Linked DNA regions of Macaca mulatta. The protein of the gene in region 1 purifies or fractionates together with the protein of each later gene. This does not show direct contact. Links are inferred from orthologs where the notes say so. Each region holds a gene or a part of one and is shown on either strand. Other genes may lie near its edges.

What was found. Proteins that work in one complex are often made in the same cells at the same time.
Region 2: the proteins of AKAP13 (region 1) and PRKACA purify together in Homo sapiens (affinity purification with mass spectrometry; 3 studies listed by BioGRID and IntAct, with this or other methods). This does not show direct contact. The link is inferred for Macaca mulatta from reciprocal best matches to the Homo sapiens genes AKAP13 and PRKACA.

The regions. Positions count from the first base shown.
Region 1 is NC_133412.1:75,527,203-75,530,771, reverse strand, and holds part of AKAP13 (A-kinase anchor protein 13), read right to left. Parts: intron 3,065-3,569; coding exon 2,870-3,064; intron 433-2,869; coding exon 271-432; intron 1-270. UniProt on the Homo sapiens protein: Scaffold protein that plays an important role in assembling signaling complexes downstream of several types of G protein-coupled receptors.
Region 2 is NC_133424.1:14,682,277-14,685,845, reverse strand, and holds part of PRKACA (cAMP-dependent protein kinase catalytic subunit alpha), read left to right. Parts: intron 1-780; coding exon 781-907; intron 908-996; coding exon 997-1,092; intron 1,093-1,184; coding exon 1,185-1,307; intron 1,308-3,569.

The sequences.
Region 1 (3,569 bases):
TTATGGATGCAGAAGAGCTGGAAGCAGGAACATGTATTATTACTCTTTTAGCTGATATCTTAGGAAAATCTTTTTTGTTACTCAAAATGAATATGAGTCTGATTGGCAGGCTCTTGAGTGTCTTAAGATCTCACTAAGAAATTTACTGATTGAATGGGAGCGGAGATGTAGCTACTAAAGTACAATGTAGCTACTAAAGTACAAATCATTTTGAGTTGTGTGGGACAGTCAAGGATTGCCTATAAAAGCTCATGACTTCGCATCATTTACCTTTTGAAGCATTCATCTGATGGCTGTCAAATCCTCCAAAGGTTTCTGCTCTCCGGGGCAGGGAAACAGGACCGACCGCACCTTCTTGCTCAATGGGGCTGCTGACAGTTGGCCCAAGTGTGCCTCCCAGATTTCCACTCACCAAGCCCTGAAGGATCTCCACTGGAATAAAGGAAACATGCAAAGCTGACATCTTATCTTTCAATGAGGAGAAAACAAGTTCACAGTATACATGATATGTACAAAGAGCATGATTGGAAATTTCCAAAGAGTGACTGGGTGAGTTCCTTTGCTCAGAGAAGGGTTTCAGCTCAGGGTATGTGTTTTGGTTGGACTCTACTAGAAATTTAGAGATGAGACTTTCCACTTTATATACAAGAGGCTAGGAAATTTGAAAGTGTACAGGGAAGGCAGAGTAATTTACTAGAAGTTACATGGCTTCTGGAATCATATCCAAAGCAGCCAGAAGATATTCCTTGGAAAGTAAGATGGACTGATTTGAGAACAGCAAGTAAAACAGTCAGGGTTTCTGGCTTCGCTAATATGGAGTGAGTTCAAGGGGCTAGAGTAGTCTAAGAATTTGCATCTCAACTCTGGCCCGCTAGGGTTCTTTTCTAGGGTATGGCTCACAGAAAGAAGAAAGTGGAGAAAATGGAATAAAAGTTAAACAGGAGAAAAAGAGATAAAGAAAAAGAAGGGCCAGGTGGAATAAGGGAGGGAACCAATAGCAGGAAATCTGATAAGACAAGCCATGTTAAAAAAGAAAACCTACACAAAAATGATAGACGAGTCCTATGGTGTGAGAAAATCTATATGAACCTGTAAACTTAAGACACTGATTTCACATAAAAATGAGCAATAGAAAATATTGAAGTCAAATCTCATATAAAGGGAAAACACAGGTGGAGAAAACACAGGGTCTAACTTCTCTACAGATAATAAAAGCACATCAGAAAGACATGTGCATAAAATAAGTGAGCAAAACACATTCTTGCCTCAGCCTCCCGAGGAGCTGGGACTACAGGTGCACGTCACCACACCCAGCTAATTTTTGTATTTTTAGTAGGGATGGGGTTTCACCATGTGGGCCAGGCTGGTCTTGAACTCCTGACCACCCGCCTTGGCCTCCCAAAGTGCTGGGATTATAGAAATGAGCCACCGCGCCCGGCCCCATCAAACATGCTTCAATTTATGAGTCCATAATAAAAACCATGGGTCACTTTCAGAAGATGTTCATGGTCTTAAAAACTGGTAAATAAATAGAGGGGAAAAATAATCAAGCGTTTATCCTTTTATCTTTTCTTATATGTCACGAAAAAAGAGACAACTAAATTTATGCCCTCTCAATGAAAGAACACACTATAAGGGCACAATTTACCAAAGAGATCAAGTCTGAGTGATTAATTAAGCCTCTGAGAATCCAGCTGCAAATCTGAAGGAAACAGAGGACAGAACTGTATGAATAAAATCCAAACTGTGGGAAACTCTCTAAGTCAAAAAGCTCATATTGTTCAAAGATAAATTATATGGGGAAAAAAGAAGATGGTGAGGGGAACTGTAAATTAAGAATTTTAAGATGCATATCAAAAAAACATAAGCAAAGTAGGCCGGGCGCGGTGGCTCAAGCCTATAATCCCAGCACTTTGGGAGGCCGAGACGGGTGGATCACGAGGTCAGGAGATCGAGACCATCCTGGAAAACACGGTGGAACCCCCCTCTCTACTAAAAAATTAAAAAAAAAAAAAAAACTAGCTGGGCGAGGTGGCGGGCGCTTGTAGTCCCAGCTACTTGGGAGGCTGAGGCAGGAGAATGGCGTAAACCCGGGAGGCGGAGCTTGCAGTGAGCTGAGATCCGGCCACTACACTCCAGCCTGGGTGACAGAGCGAGACTCCGTCTCAAAAAAAAAAAAAAAAAAAAAAAGCAAACTAAACTATAATGTTTAGGAGTAGGCACTTAAGTCATAAAGATATATAAGTAAGTGATTAACGGCCGGGCGTGGTGGCTCATGCCTATACTATCAGTTCTTTGAGAGGCCAAGGTGGGTGGATCACTTGAGGTCAAGAGTTTGAGACCAGCTTGGCCAACATGGTGAAACCCTGTCTCTATGAAAAATATAAAAATTAGCTGGGTGTGGTGGTGCACACCTGTAGTCCCAGCTACTTGGAAGGCTGAGGCAGGAGAATCACTTGAACCCAGGATGGGGAGGCTGCAGTGAGCTGAGATTGCACCACTGCACTCCAGCCTGGGAAACAGAGCAGCAAGATCCTGCCAAAAAAAAAAAAAAAAAAAAAAGGCATAAATGATTAATTTAAAAAAAGGCCAGAATAACTGCTCCTTTTGGAGGGAGGGAGGTATGATGGGGACAGGGCACGTGGACGAAGGCACTTCAGGGTGTCTGGCCACATTTAATTTCTTGATGTGGGTAGTGGTTAAAAGGATATTCACCTGATTATTTACTATAGTGAAGTATTTGTTTTGGGTAATTTTCTGCATTTGTGCGGCTTTATTTTAACGTAAAAAAGTAAAAACTGGCAGATAATATTAGAGTGTAAACCACTCTGGGAGGAGATGAAGGGAGGCAATGTTGAATGTTAATTACCCTCATTTATTGCACTTTTCATTAAAGGTCCTCCTTTGAGAGCGTCTTCTGTGTTGGAGCGGAAGAGAACTCTAGGGCTATGTGTCGGGGAGCAATCCTCTGGGAGGGGGGTGCTGCACTCAGCCATGTCCCGGAAAATCATCTCCTTCTCTTCCAACAAGAGTAGGATTTGTTGGTCCTTCTGTTGAAGTTGTTCTGCAGGATGGAGAAAATGATCTGTGATTTGATTGGCGTTTAGTATTACGAGATGACTAAGACATGAGCACCACCTTGTGGTAATTTATGGAAAGGGACAAGACAGGACACCCCACCCACTGCCCTTTCTTTTTCATCATGACAGCAATATTGTTTCTGTTCTGTGATTTCTATCTGGAAAACCATTCTGGATCTTTCTGGCGAGGAAATTGTGACATAACAAGTTTGCACTTTGCTTCCACTCCCTTGTCCCCTGTTTACTTCTCAGCCCACTACTCTCTAGCTTCTGTCCACTCTGCAACTGGTTTCCCAGCTCAACTTCACGATTGAATCCAATGAGGTCTTTTAGGTTGTTTTTTTCAGCATTGATGATTACTTCCTCCTTTAAAACATGTTTCCTTCTTTAACTTAGGACACTGGTTCTCTTCCTACCATTCTTTCTCAGGACACTTTACTGATCTGCCATCTGCAATGGAATCTCTTATCTGGGCTCCTGGCTTCTGTC
Region 2 (3,569 bases), on another chromosome or scaffold:
CTAAAAATATAAAAATTAGCCAGGTGTGGTGGTGCATGCCTGTAATCCCAGCTACTCAGGAGGCTGAGGCAAGAGAATCACTTGTTTCCAGGAGGCGAAGGTTGCAGTGAGCCAAGATTATGCTACTGCACTCCAGCCTGGGCAACAGAGCAAGACTCCATCTCAAAAAAAATACTGAAAAAAAATATATATATATACACACACACACACATCTCTCCATACACACAGAGGTGAGATCTTGCCTGTGTTACCCAGGCTGGTCTCGAACTCCTGGGCTCAAGTGATCCTCCCACCTCGACCCTCCAAAATGCTGGGATTACAGGGATGAGACACCGCACCGGGCCAAATCCCTTTCTCGACACGTCACCTCCCCGCCAAAGGCAGTTGTCCTTTCTGACTTCAAACACCGTGCCTTTGTTTTGTCTGGGCGTGGACATGATATAAATGGAATCATTCATGTTCTTTTGTGTCTTCTTTTGCTTTAACATAATCAGTTTGAAATGCAGCCACGTTGTTGAGTGGATGCATGGGCTGTCCTGTTGGCAGTGGTGGTGGTGAGTGGAATTCCATTATATGACTATAGCTCAGTCTGTGATTCCATTCTCCTGTGGGTGGACCTACAGGCTATTTCCCGTGTCGGGCTATCTAAGAATCAGGTGCCTCGCATTTCTGACAGCTGGACTGGAGTTGTCTTCCTCTGGGGAAGGCTCTGCAGGGCCACCTGCTGGACCATTTTGGGGCATGGCCACTGACATTCACCTCTCCATCTGTCCCCATCAGCGAGCCCCATGCCCGTTTCTACGCGGCCCAGATCGTCCTGACCTTCGAGTATCTGCACTCGCTGGATCTCATCTACAGGGACCTGAAGCCGGAGAATCTGCTCATTGACCAGCAGGGATACATTCAGGTGCCCACCAGGCCGGGCGAGGGGCAGCCCTGGGGAAGCCGTGGCCTGGACCCTCCCTTCCTGCCAACTGCCTGTTCTTGTGCCCACAGGTGACAGACTTCGGTTTCGCCAAGCGCGTGAAGGGCCGCACTTGGACCTTGTGCGGCACCCCTGAGTATCTGGCCCCTGAGATTATCCTGAGCAAAGTAGGCGCCTCCCAGCCCTCCCCTTCCCCTGAGGCCGGCTCTGCTCTCCTGCTCGCCCCCTCCTCACCCTGTGCCCCCCCATCTTGCTCCAGGGCTACAACAAGGCTGTGGACTGGTGGGCCCTGGGGGTTCTTATCTATGAAATGGCCGCTGGCTACCCGCCCTTCTTCGCAGACCAGCCCATCCAGATCTATGAGAAGATCGTCTCTGGGAAGGTGAGGTCCGGCTGCGGGGACACAGCCCTGGAAGAAACAGACCCTCCCCTGCTCACTCATCCTACTCCCTGGGGAGCCCTGCTTGTTGTCAGAATAATCTAGAAGTTCCTTAAGTCAGGCCAGGTGGTGAAGCTGGACGCACCGGCAACACTGAGGCCAACACCTTGAGGCCCCCTCACTGTCCAGCCCCAACCCCGCGGTTCCAGAATCCCAAGAGCTTCCAAAACCCCAAGCCTCACAGAAACTTCTTGGCCGCAGAACACAAACCGCCCTGCCAGGCAACCCTCTTCGTCACTCCTTGTCCCAGTTAGTGTGAGTTTTCGCAAATTCCAAGGCAGAAAAACCAGTGTATTTGGTTCCTGTTCCCAGGTGCTGTCCGCAGCCTCACCAAGGAGTGCTCTCACTTAGCGTTTACAGCCCATGCTTCCTCTCCCAAACCCAGACTTGCCTAACTCTGAGGGTTCGGATGAGGGGTGCTGAAACCACCTCAGCTCACATCTGTGACAGGCGCAAAGTGCCTGCCATCCACCAGGCCCTAGAATCCCCCCATCAGTCACACCCTGAGATGGTGGCACCCTCTGCAGGAGAGGTGAGGAAACAGGCTGGGAAAAGGGATGTGTCTTGGCCAAGATCACACTTTGGTGAGTAGGTAATCATCGTAGGCACTAAGAGCAGGAGAGAGGTTGGGGACCCCACCTGTGCCCTCAGCTCAACCACCTTGCTGGGAAGACCCGACCATCCCCCGACTTGGTCCAGCATCTCCTACACAGGAGCTTTTGGTCGGCCCAGAGTCACGACACTGTGGTGGCAGCGTCCTCAGGCTCAGCCTGGGCCCCAGTCCGGACCCCAGTCCCAGCTCTGCCACTGATTGGCTTTGAAACTTTGCATTTGGGTGCAATGGCTCACGCCTGTAATCCCAGCACCTTGGGAAGTGGAGGCTTCAGGCCAGCAGTTCCAGACCAGCCTGGGTAACATAGCCAGACCCCATCTCTTAAAAAAAAAAAAAAAAAAAAAGCTAAAAATTAGCTGGGCGTGATGGTGCACCCCTGTATTCCCAGCTCATCAGGAAGCTGAGGCAGGAGGATCACTTGAGCCCAGAAGTTCAAGGCTGCAGTGAGCTGTGACTGTGCCACTGCAAACTAGCCTGGGTCACAGAGCCAGACACAGTCTTTTAAAAAAATTCAGGCAAGTGGGGTGCCCGGCTGGACACATAGCATCACTAAAAGGGAAAGATGAAGGCCTGGCACGATGGCTCATGCCTGTAATCCCAGCACTTCGGGAGGCTGAGGCAGGTGGATCACAAGGTCCGGAGTTCAAGACCAGCCTGGCCAACATAGTGAAACCCCATCTCTACTAAAAATACAAAAATTAGCTGGGCATGGTAGCAGGCACCTGTAATCCCAGCTACTTGGGAGGCTGAGGCCAAAGAATTGCTTCAACCCAGGAGACGGAGGTTGCAGTGAGCCAAGATCACGCCATTGCACTCCAGCCTGGGCGACAGAACAAGACTCCGTCTCAAAAAAAAGGAAAGATGAGGCATCTGCCATGGGTGGAATAGAAACTGCCAATAAAATGGCCCAGAGTAGGCCGGGCACGGTGGCTCACGCCTGTAATCCCAGCACTTTGGGAGGCCGAGGCGGGCGGATCACGAGGTCAGGAGTTTAAGACCAGCCTGACCAACATGCTGAAACCCTGTCTCTACTAAAAATACAAAAATTAGCCGGCTGTGGTGGCGTATGCCTGTAAATCCCAGCTACTCAGGAGGCAGAGGTTGCAGTGAGCTGAGATTGCGCCACTGCACTCTAGCCTGGGCAACAGAGCAAGACTCCATCTCAGAAAAAAAAAAAAAGAAAGAAAAAAAAGAAAATGGTCCAGAGTGGAAAAAAAGAAAGAAAGAAAAAAAATCACAGAAGATCCCATAGGAGAAGATGCACATGACTCCCTTCTTTGTAGCATTTTCTAGTTCCCCCACACCCTCAGTGGTGTTATCTCCCTCGTGCAGCCCTGGGATATCTGCCCCACATCTGAGAGGCATGCACAGGCCCAGAGAGGTTAAGGGCCATGGCCAAGGTCACAAAGCGTGTAAGAGGCACAGCAGGAACAAGAAGTCGTTTCTTGCAACTATTAACTCCAGTGATGACTTGCATACAAGGCTATGGGCTCAGAGTGTATGGGGAAAACTTTCAAGAAGAGTCGAGCTGCACTTTAAAGAATGGAAGAGCCTTAGCTATGCAGAAAGAGAGGAGAGAAAAAGTTTGTCAT